Linked DNA regions of Danio rerio. The protein of the gene in region 5 interacts with the protein of the main gene of each other region in a biochemical or structural test. Links are inferred from orthologs where the notes say so. Each region holds a gene or a part of one and is shown on either strand. Other genes may lie near its edges.

Region 1 (4,566 bases), on a different chromosome or scaffold from region 5:
CTAAGCTAAAAGTGCTCCGGCCCGACCCAAAGATTGGATGAATGAACTCAAAAATAGTAGAACTCAACTGTTTAACTCCAGGGAAGTTGTAAAATGAGCCTATTCCCAAAATTGTCCTTGCTTCTTTAAGTAAATCAGCAACAGCAGACAGCCTCCCTGGGCAAAAATGAACAAATTCCGTTATCCCTAAAAGGCAGACATGAGGCAATATCTCCATAAAACCTGAACCTCCTAAAAACAGACTTGCCAAGCGTGGAAAGGCCATTTTGATTATCCAACTGCCAAATGACTTAATGCACATAAAATCAATCCATGCTGTGAACTCGTTGGTTGAGATTAGCTTTAAACAAGAACCGATCGCATTCTTGGGAAGCATCGTCAGTGTTCACATACAAAACTCTAGGATTGATCGTCAGACAAACAAAGTGACCGTGTTTTACTCGAACCCAAACTCCAAAGCGAATCAACGGACGTGCTAAGTGACTCCTGACAGCACATTTGTTTTGGGCCTCCCACTAAAGAGATTACCAGAGGCAAATACCATCAGTGAAGGGGGTTCAAGGAGATAAATGAAGGTATTTGTTTAATACAGGCTTATTTTCTTTATGCGGCTGCCAAGTTCTAGATCAAATGGAGAGGGGGGTTAGGGCAGTAGAGCTGGATAAGACACAGATTCAGAGTATGAAAATCATCCAAATGCTAAAAATGGAAGATGATTTAGGCATGTGGCCCACACTGGCGGATTTATTTAAAAAACTATTGAGTGATTCATTGTGAACAGAGAAAAACACAGAAGTAGTTTAACTAATTAACCTGCGTGTGGGTGATTCTGTGTCTGTATGTTTATTGAGTGTCTGTCTATCTGGAATTTATGGAAACAATTTCAAGATAGCTTTCTCATAATCACATCGGCATGTGTTATAGGTTTCATAAGGTCTCGGAAAATCGTTTAGATTTGTAGTGCAGTGGAGGAACTCACATCAGGGAAAAAAAAGAAAGAACTCAGTTGTCAGATGCAAATCTTACACAGACCTTTATTGTTCATTTAATAGTTGATTTTTACACCACATACTGTACATACAGTCCACAGCAGTCCTTCTGAATAATTTACATCTATTCCTTTCGGTTACACACTTTTACAGACATTTTTTTTTTTTTTTTTTGAAGTGGTCATAACATACTTTAACCTTCTTTAACAGTTCATTCTCCTAAACATACTTTTCATCTTCCTTCTCAAAACAACACCCTGGCTTTACACCAGTGTTTCAAACGTTCCTACTTCATGAAGACACTACGAAATGACAAATAACAGCAAACCAAAAATCCATGGATGCTTGCTAATATCAAGTAGCGTCAATCATCAAGTCCATCTAGTCATTTCCAACTCTATTCCAAAGCTTCCTTCTAAATCTCAACTCGACATTTCTCTAGCCCTCATTCAACTTTTTACACGACAGTCCACTTTACATCAACTTTCTGCTTCGACAGGCATGTACATGCACTGGGCCCTCATGATAATACAGGCAGGACTCAACAAGTAAAGCTCCATGCAAGATGCTACATTGAAAGTCATCCATCATTTTAAGGGGGTGGAAAACAAATATGGCTCAGATTTTGGGGTTTTTGTATAAACAAAAGAGCAAATTTTCCAATTGGAAATGTATAAATCATATTGCTACTGACATAGCATTTGTTTTGAAAAAAAAAACTATACCTTCTGATTTAAATATAAAATGGAGCTGATAAAATATTGTTTAATGGGAATGTACTTGTAAGACTTGCCTTCCAGTAGAGCTTTGGTTCAGACTCAGTACAAAGTAATTTTCATTGCTTTGGAGGTCTTTTTCCCCTCTCAGTGGGTGGTATTCCCTTCTAAAAGCTAAACACAGTGCTTTTATTAAAAAACAAAAAGAGCTACAGTAAATATCTTATTGAGAAGTTTAAAAAAAGATAAACTTTAATTACAAAAAGAAAAATCATTATTAATAAAATAAAACGACCAAACTAACAGTAAACAAGACAAGTTGTGTGATCTTGCGCTTTCACACAAATCAAAGTGTTTCATAGTGATTGGGATGCGTCTTCAATCTTCAATCCCTTGAGATCCACACAGTCGCCTCACAAATACTGTCTTTCTGGTACTGGTGCGGCCCATGTGGACCAAGGAGGGTTTGCTGGGGGGAGGGATTTGGTAGTAATAGCTGCCATTGTGGACAGTAACAGAAACACTGCTGTAAAAACCATACACACACACATAAATACAAGTCCTCCGCATGGTGCCACTCCATCTACACCATGGTCTCCTTCCTCTTGCCCAACGGGCAGAGCGAACGCTTGTCCTTTTTGGATTTGCGGGAGGGGATGGGGGCGGATATTGAAGACGATGATGAGGATGAGGAGAGGGTGGAGGTGGCGGAGGGTGTAGGACTGGGGGGCTCCTCAGAGCTAGGGGAGGAAGGGGCGGAGGCTGCAGCCCGTGGACAGTTCTCATCCATTTCATCCATTTGGATGACAGTGGAGACAGAAGAAGAGCGCCGTTTGGCGCAAACGTCGGTGGCTGGGGTGGTCAAGGGCTCATTCTCAGAGAGTGTCAAATCCTTCTGGGTGGACATGGCATTGCGGAGGCAGTTGAGCCACTGTTGCTTGTGGAAGACGTCGTTGACCTGCAGTGTGTGCGACTGTCCCTGAGATGCGTCCTGGAAGCGCACCCGGAAAATGTTTTTGGCTATAGGGAGAAAAAAAGGATTCAGTTGAGCCAAAGGAAACAACAAAAAAGGAAAGAGTGTGATTCACACAATACTAAGAGGTGTCAACTTACCTTTATCAGCGTTACTAAAGGCTCCTCTGAATGATCCTCCCATGCGGACGTCTCCATCCTGCAGGTCTTCCAATACAAGATCCTGGACTGGGATTGGCTGACGGTACACCTGGAAGCAATGGCGGTCATTCCGCGTCACAGGTCGAGTCAGAATCAGAACCTCGGTGAACAGAAATACGTGCAGTTTCTAAAGAGGGAGAAGAGAGCACTGGTTATTAACATGTTATTTGAACATTAGACTGATTAAACAGTTTGGTCCCATTTTATATTAAGTGGCCTTAACTAATATGTACTTACACAGGAACTAATAGTTTGTTACAATGTACTTATTGTGTAAATACATGTATTTACTGTGTACTTATGCTTGATTAAATACATGTAATTAACTTTTGTAGATACATTTGTAAATACACTGTTGACCATCCCTTACACCTTAACCCACCCATGCCACCAAACCTGTCCATAACCCAACCTCTATCCCAATTCAAAAGCACCCCAAGTGTTCTCAAATACATTATAAACACAGTAAGTACATTGTACTTATTTTTTATGTAAGTACATAGTAGTTAAGGACACTTAATATAAAGTGGGACCAACAGTTTTCTCTCCTGGCACTTTCAAAGATTCCACTGTTATTGTGTCATGTGCTTGACAGACAAAGGAAGCCAATTGAATCCATCTGATAGCCTTATTTGGAATATAGTGGCTTTATGTTTCTAATTCCCAAGAATAAAAGCCTGATTTGCCTCCAGCGGTTTAGACTGTGATGGATGTTAAACTCACCGTGCCACTTTTGTTGCGAAGTTCCCCATGGCAAAGCAAGCTCTTGCACTGCTCAATGCGTGGGTCTTTCTGCTTGTCTTCCAAATATTCCAGCTTATCGATATAGTATTGACATTCTGACTCCCCTTTCTTCATGTTTATGTCAGCCAGCACTGCTTGAATGACACTTATCTGGAGACAAAGAACGAAGGCAATATTAAAACCGAATGTCCCCAAAACAAGTGTATCTGAAGGCCTGCAGTTGTTAGATCGGTGCTTGCTCTTACCGCTTGCTCAAGACTTCCTTTGTCTGGGTGATCTGGTGGTGTGTGTCTTAAAATCTCTTTCAGAAGAAGAGGGTATTTGACCAAACGTGAGCGAGGGATGTCCAGGAAGCTCCATAAGTCTAGTTTCCTGCTGAAAGGTGACTCAAGGCAGCGCTGCAGGAAGTCTTGAACTCTTGGGTCCTGTTTCTTCTGATCGAGGAGGGCTTTGGCAGCTAGTTGGTTGCTACAGTATGCTCTGTATGCATTTAACCTTGGCAGCTGTGGTGGAAAGTGAGAGTTTTAACATTCCGAATGAACCACAATTAATTTGCCTCATAATAATGAACAACGAAAAGATGCTTACCCAGTCAACAACAATCTTGCCGATCTGTCTCACTGTGCCATCCGTACCTGTGGCCTTTGCCAATTGATCAAGAAGATCTGATAGGGTAAAAAAAAAAGTACGTTAACACTACTTGTTATCTCACGCAGTAATTAGGTGTGTCATGTAAATATGGTAGGTTATTTACCTTCATGAAGGGGAATGTAAGCATCCAAATCTCCAAAGATGGCTGTTAACTCCTCTTCAGACATAATAGAAAGTTTCAGCATTGGGTCATGGTATGCCTGGACACACAAAATGATAAAAATAATAAGCACAGCTTCTAATTTTACAGCCAGAAACTTTTGGCTATAAATGGAGGACGGAAGAAGGCCAAA
Region 2 (5,007 bases), on a different chromosome or scaffold from region 5:
ATTAATGTGTCCTTATGATAAAATAAATTTAAAAAATAAAGCCAATAAGACTTTCCCCGGAAGAAAAAATCTTATCAGACATAATGCAAAAATTTCCTTGCTCTATTATACATCACTTGGGAAATATAAAAAATAAAATAAAAAAATTTAGACGAGGGCTAATAATTCTGAATTCTGAATTGTTTATGCCAGAAATCATTAGAAAGTTGGGTAAAGATCACGTTCCATGAGGACATTTTGTAAATGTACTATTGTAAATATATATTCCAAACAGATTTTATTTTTTAGTAATGTGGATTGCTAAGGACTACATTTTAAAGATTTAAAGGCGATGTTGTCAATATTTAGTTTGCTTGTTTTTGTGATTCCTCGGATTTCAGATTTTAAAATAGTAATATCTTAGCCAAATATTGTCCTATCAAAGTATACATTCCGCTTATTTATTCAAATTTATAAATCTCTGTTTAAAAAATGCACTTATATCTGGTGTATGGAGCCAGAGTTGTGGATTTATGAATTCTATGAATGCAAATGTATTATTTTTGAGACTGATCTGGCTCCATACTGGTTTTGTGGTTTAGGGTCACATATTTCAATTACTGAGACAAACTCAAGTTTATTTTGCATTTTTATTTTGCTAATAATTATGGGATAGTCCTTTTATTATGTTATAATGACATGCTTTATTTCTTTTATGGCTTTAAAAACCTGGAAACTTGTTCAGAAAAAATCTTAACAATAAGGTACAAACATAAAAACATGCATACATTTATATACAAATACACTGCAACAAACAAATACATTGGATCAAATATATTATGTATAAACATAAAAATACAACTATGGGGCCAGAACTGACCATAGAAATATTCCCAATAAATAATAACATTAGAAGCTAAAACCATTTCTGAATTCTAGTGTCAACAAACAGATCTTCACAAATAGTAGTATTGTTTATTTTAATCATATACATTTTAAAAAAAAATTTTTTTTATTTATTTGTTAAAATTTTGTATTGTATTTATTCTAGTGTATTTTCTGGCCACCTGTATGTAATTTGATTTACATTTTACATAATACGATTGATACAGTATGTATTTGTATATTCTAGAGCATTTGTATGTAAATGTATATGTGTGTTTATATGTTTGCATCTTGTTGAGGCCATGGATATTGTATTTTCCCCTTGTACAGTGACGTTGAACTTGGAAAAGGCATTCTATAAATAAATCTTTTTATTATTTTTATTTCTCTGAAATCTCACAGGAAAGCAGTAAAAGCCACACTGGTTCTGCTGCCTCTGCTGGGCATCACATACATGCTGTTCTTCGTCAACCCTGGCGAGGATGAGATCTCACAGATTGTCTTCATTTACTTCAACTCTTTCCTAGAGTCCTTTCAGGTGAGCAAACACAAATTTTGGTCCTGTGCTGACATATTGTTTTATTGCTAGTCAGAATCTGATATTTACAACTCAAAAGTTTAATTACTAAGAATGAATAGATTTTTATATTTTTATTTCAAAATCTGAAGATGTGATCACACTGCAATTTTCGTCCCATAGACTTCCATACATATGCTTGGAAATTCAGACTAGAAAAACTAGCTTGTGTGACAAGTTTTGCATGTTGTGGGAATTCTGATATGGTAGTTCACATCACGTGATTGTGGGAGCCCAATATGGAGCAATAGATTGCTTTACCGATGTCTAATTATTTTTTTTTATCCCACCCTTTACTCTTCATCATGTGGTTTTAAACCTTCATAAGTTTCTTTCTTCTATTAAACACAAAGAACATTGATTTTTACAGTTAGGTTTTCCCTACTGAAGAACTGCAGAAATAGACCCAAAGAGGTTTAAAACCATGTGAGGGAGAGTAAATGATTTGGTAATCTTCATTTTTGACTGACTAAATTTAAATCCACAGTATGGACTTGTTTCTGTCATTTTGTTAATGTGTTTCTGCTTGGGTTAATTTTTCAAAAAGCTAGCTCTGACCAATAATTTATGTTTAAAATCATCTATCATTTAATCATAAATCAAGGAAAACAGGTTAACACATGTACGTGATCAATGCATTGTCAGCTTGTGAAGCGTAATTGGGTTAAGAACATGCATATAAACACACATTTGTGACTGAATCTAAATATAGCTCTGTGCTATGTAGGTGCATTCAGCACAGGTGTTTTGATTTTGTCTAAAAACAACATACTGTACACTAAAATAGTCCAACTGTTTGGTATACTCACTAAACGTTTTGCTTTTGCAAAAACAAATCCTTTTAAACCTGTTGCACAACTCATTGTTTGTTTTTGAAGTTTAGTTTTCTAGAAAATCTCACGCATGTGTTCGTAAATCCTTGTATTCTTTCTCTGAGATCTGTTTCTCATAGCAATTTAGATCTGTGTCATCTGATGCACACAAGGTCAACTCGGTCTCCTGTTTGCAGCATTTGCTTATTGGCTTGACCCTAGGGGTCTTTCACGCATGTTGAAGCCATGTTTTCCACAGATGCATCTGGCTCCACATCTGTCCAGATCCTCATGGGGATGACAGTTCATCTGTAGGGATTTTAGCAAAACATGGAGTAAAAGTTTTTGGTTTATTCTCTTTAGAAAAAAAAAAAAGTTTATTAATAAAATCAAAAAACTTTTTTTTTAAATATCATTTGAAAGGTTTCTTTGAGCTTTTTGCCTGCAGGCAGCACTTTAAAAATGGAGGAAAAGTAATTCAAAACAGATTTTTGTTTTATTACATTTCATAATGACTAAAAGCATTGTGAATGAAAAAACTGCATCTTGATAAAATAAATTATAAAAAATTTGACAGATGTTTTTGGCAAATACCATTGTCCATGGCTTAAAGACAAAAAGGAGTTTCAAGCACCAAAACAATACAGTTTATGAAGAAAAAAAAATACTTACTAAAATGGAATTAAGTGTAACGGTAGATGATACCTAATGAGTCGTGTCATATTCAAAACAAGAGTCATTAGATGGCATATTAAAATACATTTTATATGTAAGGATCAAAGTTCAGTCACAAAATGAAAAACTTATGTATATGTCTATGTATAAGTACATGTGTATAATGTTTACTTTTCACTGAAACTTGTTAAATAGACTCTGTAAAATTAGAAAAAAAAAGATGTTTAACTTTAAGAACCATTGAAAATACGGTGTTCTAATGTTAAAGACGAAGAGCTGTACAGTGGGATTTGAAGCAGAGCCTTTAGTCTATTGTGAACCACTTTAAAAAGATAACTGATTCTGAAAAAGGCATATTTTAAATGCTACGAATTGTACAAGAATTACATGACAGCTCAATTAATAATTTTAATAATTTAAACTTAATAATTTTTTAAACACCATTTTAGTGACAAAATTATTAGCCACTTTAAGCAATTTATTTCTATAGTCTACAAAACAAATCATCATTACACAATAACTTGCCTAATTACCCTAACCTGCCTAGTTAACCTAATTAACCTAGTTAAGCCTTTTAATGTCACTAAGCTGTATAGAAGTGTATCTAGTCAAATATTATTTACTGTCATCATGGCAAAGATAAAATAAATCAGTTATTAGAAATGAGTTGTTAAAACTATTATGTTTAGAAATGTGCTGAAAAAACTTCTCTCCGTTACCAGAAATTTGGGGAAAAAATAAACAAGGAGCAAATGGTTCATAATAGCAATGGTTATTAATTCTGCATACATATTTAAAAATAACAGATTTTTTTTCTCTGTTTGTGTGTGTGCGTGCGTGTGTGTGCGTGTGTGTGTGTGCTATTCAACTGCATTATGGGGTATTATATTTTATTCTAACTTTGGGTATTAAAACATTTATAAAAATGGACTTTTATTTTATTTTTAATAGTTTGAAGTCATATCTGGGTTGGGGTTGTGAATTACAGTACAAAAACCTGGTAATAAAAAATCTGTACTTATTTTGTTATTTTACTTTTTTTTTTTTTTACTGTATAATATGTTATATTCTTTCAAATCACTAAAATGTCGATAAAAGTCACCACTTTAGAGTTGTATTTTGAACATCAAAAGTAGACAGAGCATAGATAAAGGTCCCTTATAATTAATAAAGGTCCCTTATAATAAACATAATTAATAACCGTGAATAAACAGAAAACACATAAATTACAGAAACTGTTCATTTTTACAGTGCATGTTTAGTAAAGCAGTATAGTGAACTCTGTCTCAGCTTGGCTTTAAAAAGTGTTTAAACGGAAGATTGAGTGTTATTTTAAAAAGTCTATTTTTGTAATTATTTTCTCAAATGTAAATGTCTCTCGTTTTCTTTACAGGGCTTTTTTGTGTCAGTGTTCTACTGCTTTTTGAACAGTGAGGTAAGCAACTGATTTCCCTATTCTGTTTTTTTTTTTTTTGTTTTTTTTGCACACATATGCCCTCTGCTGTAACCCTGCTGTAGCTTAACTAAAGTTGTGGTGTAGTTTGTGGTGTAGTGTTTGTGTAATTTGGGCAATTCAGATTCCTTCAGCCATGGCAGTCCATTGAAACCAGACCAAAAAAGGACCCTCCTAACACTGTTAACCAAAAATCACCCTTTTGACATTCAGTAACTAAAAATAAAAAAACAACTCATAAAATATACATCCCTACGAGGTCTAAATCTGGCTTGTATTACATGCCCTTTGAAAAGGACAGTAAACCTTTGGGAATTTCCAGCCTAAATGCTCCTCTTTAGCATCATGCCCAGATCACAAGCACCAGCAGTTTTTACACATCATGTTGTCCTCTTTAAAAAAAATAAGCTTACAGGTGCTGTAAAACAATCCAGCATCGGATCCGTCTGGTCTGTTTTGTTTGTCATTTTATCCAGTGAACAAGTTGAAGTTGAGCAGAAAAGTGTGAGGTTTGATCTGAGGTCACCCTGAATCACAGATGGATATCAGAATACACCAGCAAAGCAGAGAGTACAGTGTTGCTTAACGTCAAAACGATAACATTGATCTGTTCCCGGTACATATGA
Region 3 (4,021 bases), on a different chromosome or scaffold from region 5:
TAGCAAATGCATTAGCACTCATATGTGCGCCCATAGGCGTTCTGGTCTAAAAAGGAAGGCGTTCTGAGGTGGACCGCTGGCGCGTTGCTATTTTGAGAAACTAAAATAGATTTTTCATTAGACCAAAACTAACCCGGTCTAAACTCCGGCGCAGAGTTGCGCCTCGCTTACACACTGCTTAATACACACAAGAGAGCAACAGGCAAATATCTTTACATATGAAAAAATTTAAATATTAAGGATATATATAGAATATAATAAGAATAGATATAGGATATAAATATAAAGGATTAAAATATTACAAAACTTATTATTTTCTAGCCTACATGAAAATGAAAAATCACTGCTTTTATGTCTTCTTCATCTCGGGAGGCTTTTTCAGTTCATTCATAACAATCTGCTTTTATAAAATGTTATTATTATTAGCAGTATTATTTATTATATCCATATTTATATTTGTTTTATTAAAAAAAGCTTAGATTTGCCCACCTGTCAGGTTTTAGACCATATGGGGCACAGCATGTGTTTTAGGATATAACTCAGGTTTTTGACCACACTTGGTCATTATTGTTCATTTATTTGTTTGCTGGAAATTAGAACTGAATTTAGAAATAGTTTTGAAACGAATGTTTGCGCTTAACAAACGCAATTAATTATTTATAGGCTAATTGATGTCTGTGCATAAAGGTTTCTCTATCCAAGAGCGAAAGTGAAAGTGATCCATTATCTCTCATTCTCATGCAGTAGATGCTCTGTTTAACTGTTTTCTGTTAAAAAAACTGTCAACTGTTTACTGTTTGCTTGTGAAATGCTCATTTTTTCCACTTAGACTTACTTTGCGTCCTGTAAATAGCGAATGCGCTCTTGGCGTGACGCAGCTGGCTCTTAAAGGGAATGGGAGATGAGACTCTGATTGGTTTATTCTCAAAACACACCTATAACTCATTAAGAAAATAAACTCAACACTTTTAGCCCATGCGCCTTGGCGCAAAGCGCATTTTCCTGTCCGTAAATTAGCAAAAATGCGTTCTGACACGCCCTGAAAGCGTTTGCGCCCTGCGTTTTGCGTTCTGCGCATGGACCGTCAAAATAGAGCCCAAAGTTTTTTGGAATTTCCTACATTGTAAAAAACGCGGGCTTCCACACAACTCTTAACACAAATTGATTAATGCAAAACACAGATTTAAGTGATTTAACATAAAACATTTAAGTGGTCCCCTCCCAAAATTGTTCCAACTCATTTTGAATAAATAGTTTTGAATAAGCAATTTTTTGAGTGTAATTTGAAAATGATTCATTTTATTGTTGATTCATTGTCTGTCTTGTTCACAGATTTAATCCCCTGTACCAACAATGAGGAGTTTGGATACGGTCCCCACAAACAACTGCTCCATCAGCCAGTTCAAGCACACCGTCTACCCCATCGCCTACCTGTTCATCTTCTTCCTCGGGCTGGTCGGCAACATCACCTCGCTCGTCTTCTTCGTTGCTTCTTCAGTCCGAAAAAAGGTGTCTTTAACTCCGGTGAACATCCTCATGCTCAATCTCCTGCTGTCGGATCTGATGCTGGTGTGCTCGCTGCCTTTCCGGGCCTCCTACTTCCTCATGGACTCCAATTGGGTTTTTGGAGATGTAACCTGCCGGATCATGTCTTACGTCTTCTACATTAATATGTACGGAAGTGTCTACTTTCTGACCGTACTTAGTATGGTTCGGTTCGTGGCCATTGTCAAGCCGTTCGCGTATGTACGCTGGCAAAACCCACGACGGGCCTGGATCATCTGCGTTGTTATTTGGATGATCGTTTCTCTGGCCTCCATCCCGCTTCTGAAAGCAGGAACGCATGAGGAGAATGAAAAAACCAGATGTCTGGATTTGGGACACTCCAATTTGGAAACTATTATCATTTTAAACCGTGGTGTGCTGTTTTTGGGATTTGTCGTGCCTTTCGCGATCATCTCTGTGTGTTATATCTTTGCGGCTGTGTATTTGATAAAGCTCAAGAAGAGGAACCAAAGATCTCAGTTCAACCAGAAAAAGTCCTGCTCTCTCGTCATCATAGTTTTACTGATTTTCCTGGCCTGCTTCATGCCTTATCATGTCGTCCGAACTCTATTTTTGGAGGCTGAGAGGGATATTAAAATCAACGGTTATGGCGATTCTTGCCTTTACATCGAAACTTTAAGAAAAGCGGCAGTCGTCACACACGTTCTGGCGTCTGGAAACAGCTGTCTGGATCCGCTGCTGTTCATTTTTGTTGGGGAAAACTTCATCCGCTTTTGGAAGCACCAGTCACCCAGAAGACAGAGTTGTATGATTGAGCAGAATGTAAAAGCGTAAACAAATGTCATATAAAGAGAGACGATTACGACTGGTATGAAGTCTGTGGGATCTGTTGGGACTTGAGAGGGGGAAATTCCCGGAAAAAAAGGCCATATCTGTGTTGGATCACGACAAGGAAGAACTCGATTAACCTCGCAAGTCATGATGGTTATGTGTCTGTCTAGAGTTGACTGAACTTGTATATACGTTTGCAAAACAAACAAAAAAAGTTGTGCTTATTATGCTAATAGCAAACTTTGGTTCATAACAAACAATGTCTGTTAATTAACTGTGCCTATATTTTGTGATTCAGTGGTGTTTTCCGTTTATTTATGCTCATGAATTGCATTGTTGGACTCCAGTCTTCACTTTTAGTGTTTAAATATTAACTCTGCAGCTAAACATAGAGACTTTTGTTGACATTTCAGTAGTTTAAAACAATTTAATGTATACAAAACTTTATATAAACTATATATGAGCAATATCACACAAGTAGCAGTGCGATATGGCTGTATATTGCCCTGGTTGGGAGGCGTGCACCAGTGACGATAAACTGTAAAGTCATATCGCACTGCTACAAGTTTAATATTGGGTTTTTAAAGCAGTTTGATGGCATAATTGTGTGGATAAAAACAAAATCTAACAAGTAGAGTCTCAAAAACCCTTTTGTATAAGGAACTACTTTCTTCCACCATTCATTCACATTCGCAGCTGATGTCACAACAGCAGAAATCATTGCTACTTCACCAGCGTCACTTTAGAGCTAGTGTTTGAATGCTTCTCTAGCGTAATGTCTAAAGTGATGACAAAACAAGTGATTTTTACTCACATTTCAAAATTATAAGGCTTTCCCAATATTTCTTTGTTGCATTCGGGAAATCACAATACTTAACCCCTGAAAAAGCTAAAGCAATGCAAACGCTAGCAGAATACTATTGTGTTTGCGATAAGGAAAAACAGTAAACACATGCAGGCATTTCTTCTTTCTTTCTGTTTACTGAACTAGTCTTACCAGTTATCAGTTCTAGAATGATCTGATCAGCTGTAGTTAAAAATTACGATGTTTTCCTCCTCGAAGGACTTATTATGCAGTCTCTGACACCATCTTGTGGATAAACAACGTCAACTGTCTTTGCTCCGCTCAATGACAAGCTAATGGCCATCGACGCGCTGTCTCTCAGAAGTTATAAATATTTAAAATAGGCACTATCTATCCTGAAAAAACAGCTTAAACACATCTATTGGTTGGCTGGTTTTAGCTGGTCAATCAGCCTGGTTTCAAAGGGGTTTTGGCCTTTTTCATGCTGGTTTCCAGCCTGGTTTTAGCTGGTAATCTTCCAGCTTGATCAGTTAATCAGTTAGCCTGGTTTAAACTGGATATAGCTGGTTTTAGTTGGGCTACCAGTCTGGCTAGGCTGGTCAAGCTGGTTTTCGCTGGTCATCTCCCACCTCCCAGCCTAATCGGCTTAGGCTGGTTTAAGCTGTTTATTTGTTCAGTAAAGATCCTTACTAAGATAAACTGCATATTTGCAATCTAAACGACTACATTATCGACTAAAAAAGCCTCAAAGTACATGATGTTGTCCAACAGCTGTAATATTTGTCAAACTAGAGCGTCCTCTGCTTGTTGCTGTATGTAGGCGGAGTAATACACAAGGGTGAAGGGTGAAGAGGCTAGACGAGTGCTGTTATTTGCAGA
Region 4 (5,007 bases), on a different chromosome or scaffold from region 5:
AAGGATTAAGCGTTTCTTCCAAAGAAAAGCCTGTCTAAGCAAAATGCTTGCAGGCGTCTGTAGCTCTGCCTCTTTGCCCTTGTTTGGTATCCCACGGTCGGCGCAATGACGCACTAACAAAATGGCAACAGTTAGCCACGCCTACTTGTAGCTTCATTTGCGCTATTCATCTTTTACAGTCTATGGTTTTCCCCCATCCACACTGACACGGAGCAGCAGCATTTTAAAACCAAAACGGCCTCTCTAGCGTTTCCAAAACACTCCCATTTTGGGGCTGAAAATCTCTGGTGTAGTGTGCAGACGGAAGGCGTAACCTTAGGTCTCCTCATTAAAGTCTGCCTCTAAATGTTGTGTTGCATTTGTTGGTTGCAGGCGCGGAATAAGACCGGGCAGGTGGGCTACGTTCCAGAGAAGTACCTGCAGTTCCCCACCTCTAACAGTGTACTGAGCATGCTCCAATCCCTCGCCGCGCTGGACGCCAGATCACACTCCTCCAGCAACTCCACTGAGCCTGAGCTGGCATCAGGCAGCTTCAATGGAGACAGCAGCAGTAAGACACGCAACCATACACACATACAAATCAAAAACACAAACACACACATACAAAACACACATGCAAACACACACACACAACTCTAAGAAACATACAAACACACACAAAACACACATGAAAACACATACAAATAGACACACACACATATACTGTATACACACACACAAAACATAAATAGCCACAAACACAATTACACACACACACAGTTGCACGGGGGCACAAACATACACATAAACACAAACAAACACACATACTGTACAAACACACATACTGTACAAACACACATACTGTACAAACACATACACACACACACCGAGAGACAACCACATAAACACACACACACACACATACATACACACATACAAAAACACACATGCAAACACACACATACAAACAGGAACACATGCACACACACAAACACACACAAAACAGACATACATACAAACAGGCACAAACATGAACACACACACAAGCAAACACATACGAACACACACAAAACACACACATATCCAAACGCAACACAAAACAAATACACAAGCGTATGCAGACACATACAAACACACAAACACACATACAAACAGATAAAAACACGAACACACACACATACAAATGAACACGTACACAAGCAAACACACACTAAACACACACATACAAACTCAAAACACAGACATGCATACAAAGAAGCACAAACACGAACACACACATACAAACACACACAAAACACGTTCAGACACAAACATGAACACACACAAGCAAACAAACACACACATACACATACAAACAGACACAAACACAAGCAAACACACATACAAACAAAAAACACACGTATACAAACACACACAAAACACACACACATATAAACACACACAAGAAAACACAAAACACACATACAAGCAAACACAAACACACACCTACAAACACACAAAACATACACACAGAAGCAGACAAAACACGAACACACAAAACACTCACATACAAGCACATAGAAACACACACTTATACAAACACACAAAAAACACACATACAAATACACACAAAACACATACACGCAAACAAACACACACAAATACACATACTATATAAAAACACACACACACATAGACTGTCACATATACAAACAAACACACACACTCAAAACATACACTCAATACACAGACATAAACGTACAAAAAAACACACACACACAAACACTCATATACAAACACACACAAAACACACACCAACACATACAAACATACACAAAACATAGACACATTGTACATCCAAATAAACAAGCAAACACACACACACACACACAAACACACACAAAAACACACAAATACACACAAGCACACACAAATTGTACATACAGAGACAAACATGAACACACAAAACACACTCATGAAACACGCAAACACACACTATACAAACACACACACAGAGACTGTCACATATACAAACAAACACACACACATACACTCAAAACACACACTCAACACATACACATACAAAAACACACACACACACAAAACACACCAACACAAACAAACATACAAAAAACATAGAGATATTGTACATACAAACAAGCAAACACACGCAAAAAACACACATATACAAATACACACAAACACATACAAATTGTACATACAGAGACAAACATGAACCCACACATAAAACACACAAACAAACACAAAACACACATGCACACCTTAATGAGGTTTAATCTTATATAAACTTATTTAAAGTGAAGCGTTAGTGTTGTAGTGTGCTTTATTGTAAGAATGTGATCCCTAACTAGTCCACTTGTGTCTTCAAATCACCTCCAGCAAATGTAGACGAGCTCCAACTGTATTCACACCTATTGTTAAGCACTGTCCTCTCCTCTGTGTGTCTCCCAGTGAGTTTTGTGAAGGCCATGTATGACTATGAGGGTCAGACGGACGAGGAGCTGTCGTTCCCTGAAGGCGCCATCATTCGCATCCTCAACAAGGACAACCAGGAGGACGACGGCTTCTGGGAGGGCGAGTTTAACGGCCGAGTGGGCGTCTTTCCCTCCGTCCTGGTGGAGGATCTGACGGCCTCCGAAAATGGAGACGCTCACTGGGGAACAGACGCACAGGTGAGAGACGGGAATCTACACAAATCTACACATTCAGACTTTCTGCTCCTCCTTTATCCACTATTCCCTACATCGGCGTTTCTCAATTCTGCTCTCGTGCTGCATATTTTGCGTGTCTGTCTCATTTAACACAGCTGATTTAGATTTTTAATAATAATACATTTTATTTGAGGTGCCTTTAAACCACTCATGATCACCTTACATAAGAAGAAGCAGCAGTTTCAAAATGACACTAATATAATGATACTATGGGCCTACTCACACTGTTATCCGTATGGTGCCCAGGCCCGTTTCCCGTATCGTTTGAGAAGTGTGAGTGCGCTGAATCAGGCTCAGTCACGGTTCACTTGGCCGGCCCTGGCCCGGTTATAAGAGGTGGGCCTGAGCGCGGTTCACTTGGGCTTTGTCGCGGTATGCTTGTAGTGTGAGTGCAAAATGCGCCAAAGCCCGAAACTGAAAGCGAGACGTGACTTTTAAGGGGCTGTTACATATGGATTTATTAATCATTCTTACTGTTCAGTGATCGCAAACTGCCGTAGTTTATTAAAGACAAGAACTCCTCACTGCACGACAGCTGCACGGCTTCAGCAGACCTCCTCATTCCTGCAGCACGAGAGCCTTATGATTGTTTATGAGCGCCGAAAGTGGCGGATCTGTTCGGCGAAATATCTGACTGCGTCATCGCATCCCTAAGGACTGTTTGGCGAAATATTTGACTGCATATTAAACGACTGAAACGATATAACTAGAGAAATCTCCACTGTGCTGCTGAGTGAGAGAGCGCTTCTCACTGAACAGTGCAGCAGCGATGACGTAAGCGTGCCGAAGCCCATTTGTGGTGTGAGCGCGGGCCGTCGGGGGAGATGGGAGGGGGGACAAGCGTGCTTTGGCCCAGTTCGAGGCAACTGTACCTAGTGTGAGTACGGCCTAAATCAACACATTCAGACTCTCTGCTCCTCCTTTATCCTCATTCACTATTCCCTACATCGGCGTTTCTCAATTCTGCTCTCGTGCTGCATATTTTGCGTGTCTGTCTCATTTTACACAGCTGATTTAGATTTTTAATAATAATACATTTTATTTGAGGTGCCTTTTAAACCACTCATGATCACCTTACATAAGAAGAAGCAGCAGTTTCAAAATGACACTAATATAATAACACTACTTACACTATGCTATCCGAACCGTGCCCAGGCCCGTTTCCCAGATCGTTTGAGAAGTGTGAGTGCGCTAAATCGGGCTCAGGCACGGTTCACTTGGCCGGCCCTGGCCCGGTTATAAGAGGTGGGCCTGAGCGCGGTTCACTTGGGCTTTGGTGCGGTATGCTTGTAGTGTGAGTGCAAAACGCGCCAAAGCCCGAAACTGAAAGCAAGACGTGACTTTTAAGGGGCTGTTTCATATGGATTTATTAATCATTCTTACTGTTCAGTGAACGCAAACTGCCGTAGTTTATTAAAGACGCAAACCCCTCACTGCACGACAGCTGCACCTTCAGCAAACCTCCTCATTCCTGCAGCACGAGGACTTTATGATAGTTTATGAGCGCCGAAAGTGGCGGATCTGTTCGGCGAAATATCTGACTGCGTCACCACATCCCTAAGGACTGTTTGGCGAAATATTTGACTGCATATTAAACGACTGAAACGATATAACTAGAGAAATCTCCACTGTGCTGCTGAGTGAGAGAGCGCTTTTCACTGAACAGCGCAGCAGCGATGACGTAAGCGCGCCGAGGCCCAATTGTGGTATGAGCGCGGGCCGTCGGGGGGAACTAGAGGGGGGACAAGCGTGCTTTTTTCCGGTTCGAGGCAACTGTACCTAGTACAGCCTATAATTAGACTCTCTAGGATTCTGCCATCTGTGGATTTAACAGAAGCTCAAGCAAAAGTTGCAAACTTCCAGCATATTTTGGACAATTTGGGACCTACCTGCCAACATTCAGATCATAAAATCCTGGAGTGTGCGCAAAGTGAAGAGCGAGGGCAGGGCCGGATTAACCAATGGGGAAAGAAAGAGGAGAGGAGGCATCTTTATTGAGGCATGTTCCATACACACCTTCTTTAAACAGACCCATGATCAGGAGAACGAGGCTATGAAGAAGACCTTATGGTAACGTTAGATGAGTAAGCTAGCATTAACCAGACGGAGGAGGCTAACGGCAGCGCAGCTCAAACAGGATTCATCATGTCAGAGAGACAGACAGAGAGAGGGAGAAAGAGAGAGAAAGGCCCTGAAGAAGAGAGAGACCGAAGAGGTATAATGTGTGTGATTTCGGATACTTTTAGGTTTATAATCAAGTTGATCTATGCTGTTTGCCTGCTCTTCATCACGAGGAGAGTAGAGAATATACGAGGAG
Region 5 (5,724 bases):
GAAGCCGCGTTCAAGGCACATGTAAAAGGCATGAATGGAGCAATTTACTTACAATTTACTACATATACAATAGTTCAAATTTGAAGTGGATCCAGATCAAACAATAGACTCTTTTATCAAGACTGACTATGTTCACATGGACATCAGTAATCCAATTATTTACCTTAATCTGAATAAGCAATAATATGATTAAGGTGTTTACACGAGTTACTTTGTGAATGTTCCTTTTATGATCCTGTCTTACATGTTACAGCACAAAGATCGATAAACGTTGTTGCATCATCATGCTATCCACGTTTCCTCTGGAGTTTCATGTAATTTCAGATGTTTCATTTTTAATATTTCGGCTTTTACTGTAGTTAGGCAGTTTCAGTTTCATTCAGAAACATTTCATTCATGCCCCCGGTGACAAACTGAGGTATTGGATGTGTTTATGAATTAAAGAATGTTGGAAGTTTTAATGAAATTGGATACCGCATGCCGAATGAGAGAAAAAAAAACCTTTGCATTTCGTGGGATGTGTGTCTGTAGTCCTTTATTGACTCAATAGATGTGGAGAATAGTGTCATACAGCTTTGTGTGTATAGAATATACTGCCGAAAAACATGGTGAAAAATCCTCTGTTTACATGGTAAACTCTTAATCAGAGTTTTGTCTTAATCATATCAAAATTTGATTACTGGTGGCCATGTAAAGGAACTCAGTGTTATAATGTCTTTAATGGTCATCAGCATCTTAAATACTTGAAAGTTTTTAATATTTTAATAAAAAAAGCATATTAACATTTATATTTATTTATGTATGTTTTCTATCATCTTTGCATCAAATGATAAAATAGGAATTACCGCTTATGCAGATGTTTGAAATGCAGTGTATAGTGTATAGGCAGAACAGCAAATTTGATGCTTTCTCTTCTGTCTGTCATTATCACATAGTTTTTTTTTCTATTTTCTGAAAGTCTTGAAAACATCATTGCCAATTTTTATATTATTTTAGCAAATAGGATTGTATATATAAAAAAATTGTTGTACACTCCCATTCACTGTGCTCTAAGTTTATCCACTAAGACTTCTGCTACTGAGAAACTCGAAAATCTGAAAAGGGTTCATAGTTTTAGGACAATTTTGAAATTGTTTTGATTCACTTTAAATGTTGACTGTATAATTTAAATGAACCCTCATTCCAGTAAGAATCTTCAAGAGGATAAAACCAAGAATTTAGTAAATAATCTTCAAATAGACAATAGACAAATGGAAATTCTATTTGTAATGAATCATGATTTATTTTGGTAAGAGTTTGGAAAATAAGAAATTTTTTCGGACATCAAACATGATAGGCAGGTCGAACATGACTGACAAGGATTCATGTGGGATGAACGCTTACGCCAGGCTAAATTTCTTCACAAAGCAACAGTCTGGGCAAACAGACAAAACTGGTTGTGCAACAAATTGAGGAACGAATATTTATCTTTTTAAACAGCAAGTTTCACAAAAAAAAAAACCAAAAATCTTTCATGATTTTCAGCTCACACCTTGAATCTGGATATGTTTTCAATTAATGTCATTAACCAGTTTTAGATGCTGATAATAGCCTTGTATAAAGTCCAGGTGCGATTATTCATGGAGTATGTTTAAATTTATTTACTTGGAGGGCCTTTGAAGATTTATATGGGGAGAGACATTTAATCAAGAGTTTCCAGAAATCGGCTTAGGTTCGTAAATATGATTTCTTTCGTGACGGGCTTTAGGACCTGGTGACGTGCGCAGTGAGGATTGCCTTCAGGAGTCCGAAGGGAAATAATGCGCATGCGCTCCAGTGACATTCGCTCCATCCCGAGTCGCGAGCAGGCAGAACAGGATGAAATGTATCAAAACAGACGTCAAACGCTGTACCTGTTTAAAGGAGCCGTGAACCAGGAGGAAACGCTCGCTAACACTGCCTGTGTGCCAAAGAAAACTGCTGGAATGGTACTTTAAGTGTTTAAGAAACCGCTAAACTATTTTGAAAACAACTTCAGACTTGAAGAAGTGTATTTAAAGAGGTTTATGAAATGAAAAGGCAAGCAGATGCGCGCAACCGAGAATATTAAAGCGCGAGGATGAGGAAAACAATACGGGCTAATTAAGGAAGCGGTCGGAGTGGGAATTTCATTTAGTGAAGAGCCGGACAATGGCTTGATTTTGTTTTTGTTGAGCTTTTTCTTGGATCTTTTGGGGCTGCGAAGACGCTGCATTCATGACTGAGCGGACGGAGAAGAAAGTTTACCGCGTGGGATATTTCATTTTATGAAAGTGTTTCGTTTTGTCGTCTGTCAGCGGAGCCACCTGTTTCTGTGCGGATTTTATTGATTCATCATGTCCAAAGTGGTACAGAAGAAGAATCACTGGACCACCAAAGTTAACGAGTGCTCGGTCTCCAAGGACGCCCGTGGCGAGCTGAACGTGCAGCTGCTCGGTGGCGCGGAGAACGGAGAGTTCGCCTATATCGGACACGTTAACGAGACCGCCGTACAGTATAGAAATGGGAAAGTGTCCGAGGGGGAATTACTGCTGGAAGTGGAGACGCTTTCTGTCTCTGGATTGCCGCTGTATGATGTGCTGACAGTGATCAAGAACTGCAAAGGACCTATAAGGTTAAAAACTGTGAGGCAAGGTAAGCAGAGCGATTCCCCTTCACTTTTGTTTGGTTTGTGTGATGCATTTCATGTAAACAAGCCATTGAGGAACTGTTTCCTAAAATTAGCCGGGTATTATTTATTTATTTATTTATTTATTTATTTATTTATTTATTTATTTATTTTCACATGTTCACTAAATATAGGCTTGGCGACTTGGTTTGTTGGCTAATAGGCCTGTATTTATAAAAATATTTATTCATGTTTGCATGTGACTGCATAGGGCTAGTGGTTGTTAAGAAGCATGCTTTTATTTTAAAATTTCTTAATTTGTGTTATTTCATAATGTGTTTTCCTTTACTTTTATTACTTTTACTTTTATAACTACATTTTTATTTAGTTTATCTTTTAATTCTGTATTTTTATTTGTTATGTTAGTGGGGGTGATAGGAGGTGTAGTTGTTATTATTTTTCATGTCCAATAACATAATATGATATGAATAGATAAACAATTATTTGTGATAAATATTTTAGTTCTTTTGATCAATACAGTAAGAAAAGTATGTATATTTTATTTATTGTTTTATTTCTAATTTGCAAACTGTACATAATCATTACCACACCAACATAATATATGCTAAAATTATTATTTGTGTCTGTATAAATAATAATTTTTTTTCTATTGTTTATTTATTGCAACAAATACAGTAAGCTGAGTTATTACTACAGTAAGTGATTTATTATAATAAATATCTGATTTTCTCATTTTACCTAATTATAAATATTTTATTTTTTATTCACTATAGATTATTTATTTATTTGTTTATTCATTTGTTGAAACATGGTGGACTTGCAGTAGTTTCTGCATTTTTTTCATTTGTTTTTAAAATGTGGCATTACTTATGCATTTTTTCATACATTTGCAGCCTTGTTTTGCACTTCTTGTAAAGCATTTCGCACTTGATAATGAATGAATCTCTATTCAAGGGCATTGGATAACATTTCACCCCAGGTTACATTTAGCTGAACTGAAAAAAAAAAACTTTTGACAGAAGGTCAGATAATGTTGAACACTCTTTTGTACAGTCTTTGATACATTTTAAAGTACAATTTCCTAAATAAATTCACACGTAAAGCCGTTCTTCACATTTCTACACCCATTGGTGATGTATTCCGCTTTAATCCTTTATGAGAAGTTGACGAGTGAGCATAATTTGCAGGTAAAGGCACTACAGACCGTCCTTTGTGCTAAAGCAGTGGTGACTCCCCACAGGGCTCTGCCTCATCACATGGTTTGAGTTATGCTGCTTTCCCTCTCTCTATGCTTCTGCCTATTTCACCAAATGACTTCAGACAATATCAGGAAACCAGCCAATCAACTCGGACTGCATTCCCAGAGCACCACCGGGCCCAGATCCAGCTTTCTCCCTCACACACACACACATACTCCTCATATACATTCTGGTGTTGAGTTTCGCTGTTTATAATCTATCATGCTGTCTGGGAGTTTTCTGTTGTAACCAGCCTTAATTATGAAAATGTTTTTTTGGCAACACATGCCATCTGTGTTTCTGTGAGTTTGCGAAACAACAACGAAAAAACGTCTTTTATTTTTCACATCAGCACACAGATGATCTCAAACTCCCAGTGCTTTGGACTACAGTATGAATTATTGATATGAAATGCATTAAGCTCTGCTTGAAGTGGATTACGTGTGGTTCAAGAGTTTGTACGCTTTTGTTCATACAACAAGCACCTGTGGGTCTTCAAGGCAGTTGTATGGAGCTGTTTATTTGTGCAGACTGTTATTATTGTATAGTGTTTCTAATCACGAGCATGGCTTGTTCATAACCTTAGGCACAGTTAATGCAGCGCACAACAGATTCACTCATTAATCCTCATTGATTTTTACATTAAGATACACTCAGTCCTGTGGTGACCTCACTAACAGTCTGTGCCCTGGCAGCTCTCTCTCTGGAGGTAATATGTAATAAGAATACCTTTCAACGCTGTTGTATTGATTGATGGAATAAGCCTCTTATTCTTCAGCTGAGAAAACAGTTTTATTGGTAATGTCAGCAGAGTTGGACCACTTAGAGATGAAAGTTACAAGAGATGGCAGTTTTAGAAGTCTTAAAGTAAGGAAAATGTAAAAAGATTCATGGTCTGGGAAGTAATGCTCATTTTGCTAGTCTTGCCTGTTCATTTTTTTTCTGCAAAATATATTAAAATGCAATTACCCAACACCATAAAACTTGATAATTAAAAATTAATTTGAATTCAGAATAAATTAACAGAAAATGTAAAACTAATCAATCAAGTTAAACATATTAAAAAGTACAGAGAGTGTCACGGTGGCGGTGGGTAGCATGATTGCCTCACAGCAAGAAGGTCGCTGGTTCGAGCCCCGGCTAGGTCAGTTGGCGTTTCAGTGTCGAGTTTGCATGTTCTCTCCGTGTTGGCGTGGGTTTCCTCTGGGTGCTCCGGTTTCTCCTACAGTTTAAACACATGCAGTATAGGTAAATTGAGCAAGCTAAATTGGCCGTTGTGTATGTGTGTGAATGCAAGAGTGTATGGGTGTTTCCCAGTGTTGGGTTGCGGCTGCAAGGGCATCTACTGTGTAAAAAATATGTTGGATAAGTTGGCAGTTCATTCCGCTGTGGTGACCCCTAATTAATAAAAGGACTAAGCCGGAAAGAAAATGAATAATTAAATGAAAACAGGATCGCATTAAATATTGAAATATTGTGGAAAATATCAAACTTTAGACAATACCACTATATTATTATTCAAGGTGCAAGATTATTAGAAAAACTTTCTAGTGGTTGCACCACATGCCGTTTTGAAGTGTCATTATTTTTAGATAATGTCTGTCCAGACTGGCTGATGACTTGATATCATGATGCATCTCACAGTGGGACAATTTATCCCGTATCAGATTTCTCCCATGTCTGCGGTGATTGTAAACAAATGCTGATCTGAGATCAGTTTGCCACTCTGAGCCTCTTTCTAAAGGGGTGGAATGACACACTGCTCTACATCCCTCTGTCTGGGAGCTTGTGTGTGGGATTTGACATCGGGCTGGATTAGGCTATGCCTGCAGTGAAAAT

Evidence for each region. The genes of interacting proteins can lie anywhere in the genome.
Region 1: the proteins of magi1b (region 5) and net1 form a complex in vitro, tested with the Homo sapiens proteins (3 studies listed by BioGRID and IntAct, with this or other methods). The link is inferred for Danio rerio from reciprocal best matches to the Homo sapiens genes MAGI1 and NET1.
Region 2: the proteins of magi1b (region 5) and crhr1 form a complex in vitro, tested with the Homo sapiens proteins (2 studies listed by BioGRID and IntAct, with this or other methods). The link is inferred for Danio rerio from reciprocal best matches to the Homo sapiens genes MAGI1 and CRHR1.
Region 3: the proteins of magi1b (region 5) and cysltr2b interact in a test that uses a peptide from one of them, tested with the Homo sapiens proteins (2 studies listed by IntAct, with this or other methods). The link is inferred for Danio rerio from reciprocal best matches to the Homo sapiens genes MAGI1 and CYSLTR2.
Region 4: the proteins of magi1b (region 5) and fchsd2 form a complex in vitro, tested with the Homo sapiens proteins (2 studies listed by BioGRID and IntAct, with this or other methods). The link is inferred for Danio rerio from reciprocal best matches to the Homo sapiens genes MAGI1 and FCHSD2.

Annotation. Positions count from the first base shown.
Region 1 is NC_133179.1:12,143,194-12,147,759, forward strand, and holds the end of net1 (neuroepithelial cell-transforming gene 1 protein), read right to left. Parts: intron 4,474-4,566; coding exon 4,377-4,473; intron 4,288-4,376; coding exon 4,211-4,287; intron 4,126-4,210; coding exon 3,868-4,125; intron 3,773-3,867; coding exon 3,602-3,772; exon of another isoform or gene 3,412-3,601; intron 3,096-3,411; exon of another isoform or gene 3,006-3,095; coding exon 2,819-3,005; intron 2,726-2,818; coding exon 2,289-2,725; 3' UTR 1,010-2,288; downstream 1-1,009. UniProt on the Homo sapiens protein: Acts as a guanine nucleotide exchange factor (GEF) for RhoA GTPase. May be involved in activation of the SAPK/JNK pathway Stimulates genotoxic stress-induced RHOB activity in breast cancer cells leading to their cell death.
Region 2 is NC_133178.1:20,602,715-20,607,721, forward strand, and holds part of crhr1 (corticotropin-releasing factor receptor 1), read left to right. Parts: intron 1-1,266; coding exon 1,267-1,402; intron 1,403-4,321; coding exon 4,322-4,363; intron 4,364-5,007.
Region 3 is NC_133190.1:3,193,432-3,197,452, reverse strand, and holds the end of cysltr2b (cysteinyl leukotriene receptor 2), read left to right. Parts: intron 1-1,332; 5' UTR 1,333-1,353; coding exon 1,354-2,340; 3' UTR 2,341-3,012; downstream 3,013-4,021. UniProt on the Homo sapiens protein: Receptor for cysteinyl leukotrienes. The response is mediated via a G-protein that activates a phosphatidylinositol-calcium second messenger system.
Region 4 is NC_133193.1:4,387,802-4,392,808, reverse strand, and holds part of fchsd2 (F-BAR and double SH3 domains protein 2), read left to right. Parts: intron 1-372; coding exon 373-550; intron 551-2,430; coding exon 2,431-2,651; intron 2,652-5,007. UniProt on the Homo sapiens protein: Adapter protein that plays a role in endocytosis via clathrin-coated pits. Contributes to the internalization of cell surface receptors, such as integrin ITGB1 and transferrin receptor.
Region 5 is NC_133186.1:20,964,413-20,970,136, forward strand, and holds the start of magi1b (membrane-associated guanylate kinase, WW and PDZ domain-containing protein 1b), read left to right. Parts: upstream 1-1,849; 5' UTR 1,850-2,354; coding exon 2,355-2,652; intron 2,653-5,724. UniProt on the Homo sapiens protein: Plays a role in coupling actin fibers to cell junctions in endothelial cells, via its interaction with AMOTL2 and CDH5. May regulate acid-induced ASIC3 currents by modulating its expression at the cell surface.